Linked DNA regions of Stegostoma tigrinum. The protein of the gene in region 2 binds, or shares a complex with, the protein of the main gene of each other region. Links are inferred from orthologs where the notes say so. Each region holds a gene or a part of one and is shown on either strand. Other genes may lie near its edges. The genes, in order: pnocb and oprl1.

Region 1 (7,488 bases), on a different chromosome or scaffold from region 2:
CTGATTGGATTTTTCAAAGAAGACCCTAAAGTAGTGGATGGAAAGAGCATTTATGAATTTTATTTATATGAATTTTAAGAAGATATTTAATCAATTCCATAATAAGTGACTTGTCCAAAGTTGAAGATTATGGAATTGAAGGCAATTTATTCACCTAGTTAAGAAATTGCCGAGAGACAGAAGATAGAGGAAGAGGGAGTAAAGAAATGGGCATTTGCCCTATTTGTAGAATGTGATTAGTGATGTCTTCCAAGGAAATGTGTTGGACCCTTCAACTGTTCATAATATCTATTAACTACATGATGATGAGATGGAAAGCCACATATCTATGTTTGTCAAAACACAAAGATAGAGTGCACTGTAAGTAATGAAGATGACAATATAAAATTACAAAGTGATGTTAATCGATTAAGTATCATGGGCAAACTGTTACTGATGGCTATGGGTAAATGTGAGATCATTCTCTTTATACCTAAAAATGTTAGAACAGGCACATTCAGAATGGTGAAAAGTGACAAACAGAAATGGTCCAAAGCAACCATGGAAAGGGGGGACACCTGCCTTGGGTGTTCTCTCAGATCACTGTTGTCATTGCAGGGAAATGTAACATCCATGTTGTGTTCAGCATGATTTCACCAATAGCAATGAAATCAATGAGATATAATCAATTTTTAATTATGTTAGTTGAGAGATAAATGTTCGTAGGAAGAACTCCTCTGCTGATCTTCCAATAGTATCATGGGATTTTTGCATTTCGGTGAACAGAGATATGAGGGCCCTGGTTCAATGTCTCATCTGAAAAAATGGCACAGAATTAGTTAATAAAACTGTACTGTAATCATTATTGCGCTTTTTTGGTATTTAGAATATAAAAGTAAACAATGTGGAAATTAATCCAGAAGAAACTGAGTTGCATTAAAACATTTGTACTTAAACCGATAAGTTCCAGGCTTGGAACCAGTTCTCAAAACTCTGTCCAACATAGATTGTTATTTTATGCATTGAATGACTGCTGGGCTCAATCCATTTATCTCCCCAATGAATTTTATTATTCAACTAGCTGCAAACCATTTCAACTTTCAGAGATCACATTAGAACTGATGCCAAATTTCCTACTTTGTTGAAAATATCACAAAGAAAGAGAGTCTGCAGGAAGGTCACTGTCCCAAGCACTGCCAGCACAATATTACTAAGAGGTTATCACTGTAAGCTGACTGCCATATCATAACCGTAAATGTGTTTTCACTCTTTGTACAAGGCAGTTATGAAGGACATTTCCAATTAGGCTGTTGGTGGAAAGCCAGACCAACGGACCAGGAGTTCATTTTCAGTAGTGCATAGTCTTTCAAATTGTTATTAGTTGAAGTTTAGTGGGAGTTTGTTTAAATGATTGCCATGGTGGGATTAATAATCTTATCCTTCAGACCAATTCTACATGTTCAGTGTACCAAGCATTTTCATGTGGCACTAGATTTATTTTTGAAAACATATTTGGTTACGGCCTCCATCCCTATGTCTCAATTTCTGCCCTTACCAAATATAACTCTATTGAGCCTTGTCTTAAAAGTCCCAGTTGACTCAGCTCGCACTGTTGATGTTATCGACCAGACCTCCACAATAGAAAACAGAAAATGATGAAATTAACTTGCATTTGCTCCACATCTCTCATTGCCCCAGGCTAACAAAAGCTTATCCAGCTTTAGACGTGAAAACTCCAACTCCAAATGGGGGAGATGGTGAAAATGTTTACAGTTTCTATTATTTTCTATGTGGCAAAATGCTTCAGAATTTCATTCTGGAAAGGCCTTACTCAAATTATAATATTGTGCCTTCTAGATTCCCAACCAGAGAAAATACTGTACTCCATATATCATTTAAAATAACTGAATAGATTTCATCTCATCCTTCTAAACTCCACAGAATACAAACCAGGGAATGCAGCCTATATTCAAAATTATCATCAGTAACATCCACAGACTCATTCTATTGTTAACTGTGACACCTGCCCAAACAAAATAACTAATAAGTCAACAACATTGTATTTAGTGTAGCATTATAAAGAAACTTAAAATATACTATTCGGTTGAAGTAACAATTCAATGAATGACGATTGGAAGAGGAGAGAATATTTTTAAATCTGAAGCTCTGGTACTTTATCTGAACGTCTGGTCTTAATTCTTGACCCCGACTACATCTTTCAAATTGCTGTTTCCAGTAGAAACCTTGTCGAAGAGAGCTGATGGGATGTAAAAGTGCAACAGCAAGGTGTAGCCTCGTGGTAAAAACAAATGGTACTTTTTCAACGTGACCTTTCCACCAACGCCGGCACCTCTTTTACTGTTCATATCTCGTCTCTTTATCCAATTTCGATTCTGTAGCCCTCACCGTTCTGGTCTATTTTTCACACCTCTGCTGTCTTTCTTGCCTACCTCTCCCTCTCTCTGCCCACTGCTGTTATCTACATTTGGCAGTTCCCTGGGACGGGACACTGACCCTCAGGTGAGAGCTGTCCAGGACTGAGCAGTATGCACAACGGGGTACATGAGAGGGAGCTGGACCGTGGGACCGGGCTGCCTGCGCACCCAGATACAGGCAACTCGGTAAACACACACACACACACACACACACACACAGAACTCAGAGCCAGATTACACACCCTTTGGTCCACGACCCCGCCTCTCCATTTCTGTCTGTACCTTCTTTGTTACCTCTTTAAACGTTATTCTGCTGTTTCCCTGCGATTTATTTGGGAACTCTGTAGGCTCCCGGTTTCAGTGGCTCATCCCAGCTCCCCCACCACTCCCTGCCCTCCCTGAGGGAGCTCACCCTAGCCCTCCCGGACTCTATAGGGAAGTGAAGGGTTAGTCAAGCTGGGAAATGCGGCTCCATCACCTCCCTCTCAGCGACTCTACAAGGATTGAAGGAAACAGAGAGGGACAGGGACCTGGGGAAAAGCGGGGGCGCGGGCGGAGGGTGAGTGTTAAACAGAAAGGTTATAGATTGTGGGAGGGGGTAGGAGTGGATAAATGAGAGGGATTAAACGAAATAGGAGTTCTGCGGGAATGGAAACCTGGCGAGTTCTCCGCTAAGAGGAAGGAGGAAAAGAAAAAGTTTCCATTAGGAAGAATATCGGTGAAAACAAACCAATAGAGAAGAGAGTTGGCTCAAAGGATGGAGGCAGGGAGAGTGGGAGCAGAAACAGCGCGGAACTGAAAGATGCAGGGAGCCCAGGCTCTCACTCGGAGACAGCAACAAAGTTTAAACCGAACATCTGGTCTTTATCGGGAATGAGAGGGAGACTTGAGTAACTCTCCTACCTGAGAATGTCCGCCAGTGAGAGGGTAACTGTTGTTGCGAGGTCTTCTCTCTCTCTCTCTCTCTCACTCACTCTCTCTCTCTCACACACACACACACACACACACACACACAGCAAGATTCGTCTCCTCAATCCTAAAGCAGAGTTTCACACTGTACTTGTGTTTAACTCCCCTCTTCTGATATACCCTGACTGGACAGACAAACCAGGCAGTCAGCAAGCGAGAGCACACCCCTTCCAGGAAGAGAGATGCATTTGTATAAGCAGCTTCCTGGAACCCCTCACATTGGCTCAGATGACTGACACATCCTCACTCCCTGAGTCACACAGGAACTGTCTCCCGACACTTACCTGTCACTAATCCCCGATATGACCCTGACTGACAGTCAGTAAAACTCGCCCCACAATCATTCTGTGAGAGTCACTGACCCCTCTCCGAGCCCACAGTCACTGATTACCACCAATAATTCCTAACAGTGACTTTGTCACTACCCAACCACCCAAAGTCATTTAGTTAATTACCAACAATTACTGACTGAGTTACTGACTCGGCCAATGACTTCGTCACGAAGTCAGGAAAACTAACAGTAACCTACAACAGTTACAAGCATGTCATCAGGTGGCTACCAGGTTACTCAGATCGCTAACACATCAATCGAACATAAACGTACAATAGTTACCCATTTACTAAATCCTAGCAATAACACTGCACACTCCCTGATCACTTGAGACTCACTCTGTCACTAAAGTGTCACTCCATTACACAGTCCAGGCACTCGGGTCACTAACCAGTCACACCATCACTAACCCAGACAGGCACTCGGGTCAGTAACCTGTCATTTCATCAGTGACACAGACAGGCACTCGGGTCACTAACCTGTCACTGTATCACTAACCCAGACAGGCACTCGGGTCACTAACCTGTCACTCCATCAGTGACACAGACAGGCACTCGGGTCACTAACCTGTCACTCCATCAGTGACACAGACAGGCACTCGGGTCACTAACCTGTCACTCCATCAGTGACACAGACAGGCACTCGGGTCACTAACCTGTCACTCCATCAGTGACACAGACAGGCACTCGAGTCACTAACCTGTCACTCCATCAGTGACACAGACAGGCACTCGGGTCACTAACCTGTCACTGTATCAGTGACACAGACAGGCACTCGGGTCACTAACCTGTCACTCCATCAGTGACACAGACAGGCACTCGGGTCACTAACCTGTCACTCCATCAGTGACACAGACAGGCACTCGGGTCACTAACCTGTCACTCCATCAGTGACACAGACAGGCACTCGGGTCACTAACCTGTCACTCCATCAGTGACACAGACAGGCACTCGGGTCACTAACCTGTCACTCCATCAGTGACACAGACAGGCACTCGGGTCACTAACCTGTCACTCCATCAGTGACACAGACAGGCACTCGAGTCACTAACCTGTCACTCCATCAGTGACACAGACAGGCACTCGAGTCACTAACCTGTCACTCCATCAGTGACACAGACAGGCACTCGGGTCACTAACCTGTCACTCCATCAGTGACACAGACAGGCACTCGGGTCACTAACCTGTCACTTCATCAGTGACACAGACAGGCACTCGAGTCACTAACCTGTCACTCCATCAGTGACACAGACAGGCACTCGGGTCACTAACCTGTCACTCCATCAGTGACACAGACAGGCACTCGAGTCACTAACCTGTCACTCCATCAGTGACACAGACAGGCACTCGGGTCACTAACCTGTCACTCCATCAGTGACACAGACAGGCACTCGAGTCACTAACCTGTCACTCCATCAGTGACACAGACAGGCACTCGGGTCACTAACCTGTCACTCCATCAGTGACACAGACAGGCACTCGAGTCACTAACCTGTCACTCCATCAGTGACACAGACAGGCACTCGGGTCACTAACCTGTCACTCCATCAGTGACACAGACAGGCACTCGAGTCACTAACCTGTCACTCCATCAGTGACACAGACAGGCACTCGAGTCACTAACCTGTCACTCCATCAGTGACACAGACAGGCACTCGGGTCACTAACCTGTCACTCCATCAGTGACACAGACAGGCACTCGAGTCACTAACCTGTCACTCCATCAGTGACACAGACAGGCACTCGAGTCACTAACCTGTCACTCCATCAGTGACACAGACAGGCACTCGGGTCACTAACCTGTCACTCCATCAGTGACACAGACAGGCACTCGAGTCACTAACCTGTCACTCCATCAGTGACACAGACAGGCACTCGAGTCACTAACCTGTCACTCCATCAGTGACACAGACAGGCACTCGAGTCACTAACCTGTCACTCCATCAGTGACACAGACAGGCACTCGGGTCACTAACCTGTCACTGTATCACTAACCCAGACAGGCACTCGAGTCACTAACCTGTCACTCCATCAGTGACACAGACAGGCACTCGAGTCACTAACCTGTCACTCCATCAGTGACACAGACAGGCACTCGGGTCACTAACCTGTCACTCCATCAGTGACACAGACAGGCACTCGAGTCACTAACCTGTCACTCCATCAGTGACACAGACAGGCACTCGAGTCACTAACCTGTCACTCCATCAGTGACACAGACAGGCACTCGGGTCACTAACCTGTCACTGTATCACTAACCCAGACAGGCACTCGGGTCACTAACCTGAACACCATCACAAACCCAGACAGGTTCATGATCCGAGTGCCTGTCTGAGTTAGTGATGCTGTGACACGTTAGTGATGGAGGGACCGGTTACTAACCTGTCACTGTATCACGAAACCAGACAGGTACTCGGGTCACTAATGTGTCACAGCATCACTAACTCAGACTGGCACTCAGGCCACTAGCCTGTCACTGTATCATGAACTCAGGCAGACACTGGGGTCACTCATCTGTCACGACATCACTGACCCAGACAGGCACTCGGGTCACTAACCTGTCACTGTCTCACTAAACCAGACAGGCATTAGTGTCACTAACCTGTCACTGTATTACTCACCCAGACAGGCACTCGGGTCACTGACCTGTCACTGTCTCACTAAACCAGACAGGCATTAGTGTCACTAACCTGTCACTGTATTACTCACCCAGACAGGCACTCGGGTCACTGACCTGTATCTCCGTCACTAACCCAGACAGGCACTCGGGTCACTGACCTGTCTCTGCAACCTTTAGCTCGATCATTAACCCAGACAGGCACCCGGGTCACTAACCTGTCACTGGCTCACTAAATCAGACAGGCATTAGTGTCACTAACCTGTCACTGTATTACTCACCCAGACAGGCACTCGGGTCACTGACCTGTATCTCCGTCACTAACCCAGACAGGCACTCGGGTCACTGACCTGTCTCTGCAACCTTTAGCTCGATCATTAACCCAGACAGGCACCCGGGTCACTAACCTGTCACTGGCTCACTAAATCAGACAGGCATTAGCGTCACTAACCTGTCACTGTATTACTCACCCAGACAGGCACTCGGGTCACTGACCTGTATCTCCGTCACTAACCCAGGCAGGCACTCGGGTCACTAACCTGTCACTCCATCACTAACCCAGGCAGGCATTCGGGCCACTAACCTGTCATTGAATCACTAACCCAGACAGGCACTGAGGTCACTAACCTGTATCTCCATCACTAATGCAGACAGGCACTCGGGTCACTAACCTGTCACTTTATCACTAACCCAGACAGGCACTCGAGTCACGAACCAGTCACTGCGTCACTAACCTAGACAGGCACTTGGGTCACTAACCTGTCACTTTTTGCTAATCCAGTCAGGCCACAAGTCCAATTACCTGTCACTCCATCACTAACCCAGACAGGCACCTGGATCACTAACCTGTCACTCCATCAGTAACCCAGACAGGCACTGAGGTCACTAACCTGTCACTCCAGCACTCACCCAGACAGGCACTCGGGCCACTAACCTGTCACTCTATCACGAACCCAGACAGGCACTGAGGTCACTAATCTGTCACTCCATCACACACCCAGACACACACTCAGGTCACTAACCTGTATCTCCATCACACACCCAGACACACACTCAGGTCACTAACCTGTATCTCCATCACACACCCAGACACACACTCAGGTCACTAACCTGTATCTCCATCACTAACCCAGACAGACACACGGGTCACTAACCTGT
Region 2 (7,488 bases):
AGAAACACCAAATCAGAGGGGCCCTACTTTTTATCACTAGGCTCGTCCCGTTCTCCTTTAATAACAGTAAGTATTAAAAAAATTACATTTTAGTTATTGACTAAACAGTAAATAATCAATCCAAATCACCAGTTCTTCTTGTGTTTTTTTTCACTATTATTACTTGCACAACAACTTACTTTTATATTCAGGTGTTCAGCTGAGCTCTCTCCCTAAAACATTGATTGATGTGAACAATGCAGTATAAATTCTATTTGCATTTCTAACTGCTGAACAAATATTCAAACCCCAGATTCTATGAAATTTTGTGATACTTTTGCATTAGTACAGAGAATATCAACAATCAGTTGGCTTTACATTAAGGAACATATGCTCAAGCCATTGACAAAGATGCAGAAGTGGATTAGATTAGATTCCTTACAGTGTGGAAACAGGCCCTTTGGTCCAACAAGTCCACACTTCCCCTTGGAGCATCCCACACAGACCCACCCCCTATAACCCACACACCACTGAACACTATGGGCAATTTAGCATGATCAATCCACCTAGCGTGCACATCTTTGGACTGTGGGAGGAAATCAGAGCACCCGGAGGAAACATACGCAGACACAGGGAGAATGTACAAACTCTGCACAGACAGCCACCCGAGGCTGGAATCGAACCCAGGTCCCTAGCGCTGTGAGGCTGCAGTGTTAGCCACTGTGCCATGCTGATTAATATTTTGATTTTCTGCCTAATTGCTAAAATTCATGAAATATGGCTCTTATTAGCATTCTGTTGTTGTGTCAGCACAGTTAAGGCCAGAAAGAAATCTTTAGGTTAATGAAAATGGTGATTTCTTTTCTCAACCAACATCATTAAAAAACATTAGCCAGTCATTTATCTAAGATAATAGGAACTGCAGATGCTGAAGAATCCAAGATAACAAGGTGTAAAGATGAACGAGCACAGCAGGCCAAGCAACATCATAGGAGCAGGAAAGCTGATGTTTTGGGCCTAGACCCTTCATCAGAAATCGGGTCGAGGCCCGAAATGTCAGCTTTCCTGCTCCTAAGATGCTGCTTGGCCTGCTGTGTTCATCTAGCTCCACACTTTGTTATCTCAGTCATTTATCTCATTACTGTTCAAAGGAGCTTGCTGTGCGTAAACTGGTGGTCAGGTTTTCATGTTATAACAAGTCACTTCAAAGCAAAATTGTTAACACCTTGAGATATTCTGAAGTCATTAAAATTATCATGTGAATGTAAATGTGTTTTTCCTTCCTTTACTGACCTTCATGTCAATCATATTGATCAACCTGTGGATTTCAGAGTCTTGCGAACGATGAATTACCATCTCCACCCCTTGAACAGTAGGCTGGGCTAGCCAGGGCTTTCCATCTGCTGCATTTGTTGAGTGCCACAGCATAGGGCACTCAGCAAAGCTACTGGGTTACCCGGCAACATCATTTCTAATGACAGAGTCACAAGGATTGCAGAGGGGATACTGAGGTTGCAATTTAAGCATTCATTATTATTTTTGCCCTCTTTCATGCTAATTGTTTTAGCATGATTCAGGATCTTTTCCATTGGCAAGTATGTGCTAACCCAACTATGCTTCAATTTACTTGGACTACTAACCATTGTAGACATACTGATACTCGGTGCAAAATGAACCTAAGGGATAGGATTAACTCAGTGAATGATCTCTATCTCCACCATCATGATTCACTGGGTTAGTACATTTGAAGTTAACCCCCACTATTCCCAAACTTATCATAAATGCAAAGATTAAATGAAACTATCAAATATTTCAATTTGTCTCCAACTGACGGCTACCAGGATAAAAACGAATCATACCTGCTTGCTTCAGTAACAATAAGCATAATGTCAATTATCATCATAATTTTAACTTTAACAAGAACAGGAAAAGTTCAAGGTTTCTAATTTGTGGAACTTAAACTTTACCCCTTTTAAAACTTCCAAACACAAAGGAACAAAAAAAATATGAATAGCAAAAGTAGAGAGGAGAAGTAGTAGTCAGGAGAAAGCAATTCTGTTACACCAATCTAAATCACAAACCAAGTTGGCTGGTTTCACAATCCTTTTCATTTTTAAATGATTTTTCAACATTATCTGCAACAACATGCTCAGTCTGTAGTTCACTTGGTTGGACCAAGAGTCATTCTGATAATCTTAGTATTATAGAACAATTTCTTTCTGAGCTCTAAGGTAATTTTTCTGCTCTTTCAGCAGAAAATTGGCAAGAACAGCTTTGCAAGAAAGATAAGAGAAAATGATTGATGCAGCCAACTTTTGGTGGTCTCCCGGAAACACTTTGTTAATCCCTCTCACAGGGTCCGTGTTGCACTGCCGCCTTATCAATCAGTGGGTTATTGTTATGCTGAGCTTTTCCTGAGTCTATTAAAAAATTGTGCCAATTTGTCTGGACTTAATGTCGCTGAGAAATAACATTATTTCACATGCATCAGTTAGCTTCATTTGTTTTTCCATGCTGCAAACAACTCTTCGTATATTCTCCTTTTTTAAAGAAAAATATCCTTTTCTCTCATTTTCAGACCATAGTCTAAAATTTAAAAAAAGATGTAATCTCTTACACCAACACAGCACGTAGAAATTCTGCCTCAAAGGCACAATGGAAACTACCAGAACCTATAGAAACAAAACACATACAGGTCTCTGCAATTTTCCCGTGGCTCCTAGGATAAAGTTTAAAAGTAGACCAGTGGAAGCCCTGAAACTGATTTTTTTTTGTTGCTGTGCTTAGAACTGCATGGACTAATTTATCAGTTCACAAAGTGACTACTGAGAATAAAATACATTTCACCATTTGTCTAATAGTACAATGTGACAGACGCTTTACTCCGTTTTTAATGAAATGAATGAAATGGCATACATCCAGCACATTGCCTTTGTGAGCATGGGTTTGAACCATTACTGATATTTACTGCCATGGATGTATACGACATAAATCATGCTTAATATGGTTATATTCTGCAATGAATTTATTGTTGCAAATATCAATTTTCCGACAACATAATGTTCCATCACTGGCTAAACCAAGTCTCCAGTACACAATCAATTAAATCCCCCTGGGTAAGCACTGTCAAGGACAGGTTGAAACATTTTTCATGGTATGTGCACAACATCCATCAATTTGAAGTAAGTGTCTTGAGAAACATAAATCTCACACTTTTAAATTCTTAAGTATTCTTATGATGAAATAATCTTGACATCCAGATCAACTTCACAAAACATCTTGCCTGATTTTACTACACACCTCACTGTAACCCATACTGCTCAGAGCCTGGTAAGATTCCACCCTGTTTGTTCTTTACAATGTTACAAACGATACCTGTTTCCCCACTATTGGGAAGAAAGTATTTACACAAATATCAAAACTTGCAAAGGGAAGAGTTATCTTTTAAGTAGAAACAGACAGGCCTTATAAAAAGTGAACATTTGCAATAAATCCAGTGAATAAATATGAATATATTCTTTAAACATACATCTAGATCATTGACATTCTCAATATTCAGAATTGTAGTTGGTCAATATCACTCACTTACTTCCAAAGGAGTAAGATCAGCAACAAACATAACTGCTGATTGCAGAACCATTGCGTAGAAATCATAGGCCAGTTGAAGGAAGTAACGACACTGCAGAGTGAATGTACCATATGAAAATGAGAGAAACTGCCAAGCTTACTGCCAGTGCCAAAATCTTTCCATATTCTAACATTGGGCTACTAAATACCAGCACGAACCAACTCAATGGATAGCACATGTTGAAAATACTGCTGTCTTACATTTCATTGAAGCAATCTCCCAAGACTCTGCCTTCACATTTCATGAAAATTGGAAAGAACAGAATGATCCATTCGTCAGTATATGAAAACACTGTGTCAGAAGCACTAGCTCATAAACAGCTATATGCAAACAACACTGAGAATGAATTGAAGCAGCACAGGATGAATCATGGTGCACAAGTGAAAAGAATAATTTGACTTTATGTTCATACCCACATGGTACTAAAAGGGTTTTCTGACCGGGGAATGGGAGAATAAAGTTAGTCTCACCATGGCAGTTTTTTCTTAATTGGTGAATCCATAACCAATAGCAGTAAGAGAAAAAAAAGCATATGTTGGAAATCAGAAGTAAAATTTGAAAACATTGGAAATGTTCAACTCTGTCACAATCATGTAATTACTTAGTTTGATTACATTTTAAGTCAGAAGTTTTAAATTTGCAACATCAAAATATAACTGATGTATAATATAAACATCGAGCCTAAGCTTAAGATAATTCAGCTTTTTGTGATTTTGCAGCTGAATGAAGTCAGTTGAGTGAAAATCACCACAATGGTTAAGTAACATCACGGTTAAATAGTTTTGTTTTCTTAGGGAAGGATATTTAACTTAATTCAAAACAGGATACTTTGCTGACCTTCCGTAAAAGATGTGAATATTTTAATAAGGATGGGATCTAGTCGTGCTGGCATAATTCTACAAAGAATTAAATGATTGTCCATTTCAGGCATTTCCAAGCTACACTCGAGCTAAGTTTTGTAGAATTATGTCAGCATGACCAGATATTGTGAAATTCATTTTTTGATGTCTTGCAGAAACAATGATGGTTAAACTGCTCATACTTGTAGTCATTCATTATTCCATTGGAGCTGACAGCAACTACGTTTAATGACAGAAATCCCTAATTTGCTGTCATTGCTACTGCACTCCTCCAGAGGGTGCACTGTTGAGGACTCCCTTTCCACTACTCCATTTGTAATCTCAAAGCAATGAGTGAATTTCCAAAGCCATTCCTCTCTTGTCTTATCATTTCGCTGTAAATCCCTTTAAAATGATGTCCCGTGAATGGCAGATCAATCTGAGACTGGTACAGTTGGGGAAAGGAGCAAGTCAAACAGTCACGGCAGGCAGGAACAAAGTAGAAAACGAGGTAGGACTGATGAATTAAACTGCGTTTATTTTATTGGAAGAGGCCTAACAGGTAAGGTAGATGACCTCAGTGCATAGCTCGGAACATGGGATTGGGATATTGTAGAAATTACAGAGACGTACCTTGGGGATGGACTAGATTAGCGGCTTAATGTTCCAGGCTATAGATGCTATAGGAAGGATAGTAAGGGGAGGGAAGAGAGGAGAGGCAGTGGCATTTTTGATTTAAGATAACATTATGGCTGTAGTTGGGGAGGATAGTCCTGAAAAGATGTTCAGGGAAGTTATTGGGTGGAACTGAGAAGTAAGAAAGGGATAACTATCTTTTTGAGGTTGTAGTATAGACTAATCCTTGCACCCCACCCCCACAACCCCGACACCCCCAGTAGTCAGCAGGAAATTAAGAAACAATTTGTAAGGAGATCTCAGTTGATTGTAAGAATATTAGGATGATTATGGTAGGGGTTTTAACTTACCAAACATGGACTGGGACTGACAGTGTTCAGGGCTTTATGGAGAGGAATTTGTGAAGTGTGTACAGGAAAATTTTCTGATTCAAAACTTGACCTACTCTTGGGAAATAAGGCAGGGCAAGTGACCGGTGTCAGTGGGGGGGCACTTTGGGGCCCAGTGACCACAATTCTATTCATCTAAAAATAGTAATAGGAAAGGATAGACCAGATCTAAAAGTTAAAGTTCTAAATTGGATGATGGCCAATTTTGATTGTATGAAGCAAAAACTTTCATAAGTTGATTGGCAACAGATGTTCGCAGGTAAATGGATGGCTGGAAAATGAGAAGCCTTCAAAAAAGAGATAATGTGAGTCCTACGACAGTGTGTTCCTGCTAGGGTGAAAGTCAAGGTTGTTAGGTGTAGAGAATGCTGAATGACTAGAGAAATGAAGGTTTTGGTCAAAAAAAAGAAGGAAGCATATGTCATCTATAGACAGCAGAGATCGAATGAATCCCGAAAAGAGTACAAATACATTAGGAGTATACTGAAGAGGGAAATCAGGAGGGCAAAAAGGGAAACTGAGCAAGTTTTGGCAAATAGGGTTAATGAGAATCTGAAGGAATTCTCCAAATACAGTAAGGACAAAATGGTATCAGAGATAATGGGAACTGCAGATGCTGGAGATTCCAAGATAATAAAATGTGGGGCTGGATGAACACAGCAGGCCAAGCAGCATCTCAGGAGCACAAAAGCTGACGTTTCGGGCCTAGACCCTTCATCAGAGAGGGGGATGGGGGGAGGGAACTGGAATAAATAGGGAGAGAGGGGGAGGCGGACCGAAGATGGAGAGTAAAGAAGATAGGTGGAGAGGGTGTAGGTGGGGAGGTAGGGAGGGGATAGGTCAGTCCAGGGAAGACGGACAGGTCAAGGAGGTGGGATGAGGTTAGTAGGTAGCTGGGGGTGCGGCTTGGGGTGGGAGGAAGGGATGGGTGAGAGGAAGAACCGGTTAGGGAGGCAGAGACAGGTTGGACTGGTTTTGGGATGCAGTGGGTGGGGGGGAAGAGCTGGGCTGGTTGTGTGGTGCAGTGGGGGGAGGGGATGAACTGGGCTGGTTTAGGGATGCAGTGGGGGAAGGGGAGATTTTGAAACTGGTGAAGTCCACATTGATACCATATGGCTGCAGGTTTCCCAGGCGGAATATAAGTTGCTGTTCCTGCAACCTTCGGGTGGCATCATTGTGGCAGTGCAGGAGGCCCATGATGGACATGTCATCAAGAGAATGGGAGGGGGAGTGGAAATGGTTTGCGACTGGGAGGTGCAGTTGTTTGTTACGAACTGAGCGGAGGTGTTCTGCAAAGCGGTCCCCAAGCCTCCGCTTGGTTTCCCCAATGTAGAGGAACAAAAGGACAAAATGGTAATGGGCAGAGAATACAGCCCCTTAAAGATCAGCAAGGCTGCCTATGTGTGGAATAGGAGATGGGGGAAATATTAAACAAGTATTTTGGATCAGTGTTTACTATCGAGAAGAATATGGAAGATGAGAATTTGGGGATATAGACAGCGACATCTTGAAAAATGTCCATTTATAGAAGAGGAGGTGCTGGACATCTTAAAATGCATAAAGCTGGATAAATCCCCAGGATCTGATCAGGTGTATCCTAGAACTCTGTGGGAAGCTAGGCAAGTGATTGTTGGGCCTCTTGCTGGGATATTTGTATCATCCATAGCCACAGGTGAAGTGCCAGAAGACTGGAATTTGGCAAAGGTGGTGCCTCTATTTAAAAAAGGTGATGAGGAAAAGCCAGGGAAGTATTCATCGATGAGACTGACATTGATGGTGGGAAAGTTGTTGGAGGGAATCCTAAGGGATAGGATTTACATGCATTTGGAAAGTCAAGCACTGATTAGGGATAGCCAACATAGCTTTGTGCGAGGGAAAACATGTCTTAATAATATGATTGAGTTTTTTGAAGAAGTAATGAAGAGGACTGATGAGGGCAGAGTGGAGGACATCTATATAGACTTAAGTTAGACATTTGACAAGATTCCTCACAGTAGACTGGTTAGCAAGGCTGGAT

The links.
Region 1: the proteins of oprl1 (region 2) and pnocb are in contact, whole or in part, in a cryo-EM structure (PDB 8F7X), measured with the Homo sapiens proteins. The link is inferred for Stegostoma tigrinum from reciprocal best matches to the Homo sapiens genes OPRL1 and PNOC. Residues at the interface, in NP_000904.1 of Homo sapiens: Gln107, Asp110, Gly114, Phe115, Trp116, Val126, Ile127, Asp130, Tyr131, Met134, Gln192, Glu194, Ile198, Glu199, Cys200, Leu201, Val202, Ile219, Val279, Gln280, Val283, Gln286, Gln291, Pro292, Ser293, Val298, Leu301, Arg302, Thr305, Tyr309; in NP_006219.1 of Homo sapiens: Phe130, Gly131, Gly132, Phe133, Thr134, Gly135, Ala136, Arg137, Lys138, Ser139, Ala140, Arg141, Lys142, Leu143.

Annotation. Positions count from the first base shown.
Region 1 is NC_081357.1:98,742,834-98,750,321, forward strand, and holds the start of pnocb (prepronociceptin b), read right to left. Parts: upstream 3,691-7,488; 5' UTR 3,668-3,690; intron 3,610-3,667; exon of another isoform or gene 3,318-3,609; intron 1-3,317.
Region 2 is NC_081372.1:27,783,583-27,791,070, reverse strand, and holds the start of oprl1 (nociceptin receptor), read right to left. Parts: upstream 3,872-7,488; 5' UTR 3,852-3,871; coding exon 3,808-3,851; intron 1-3,807.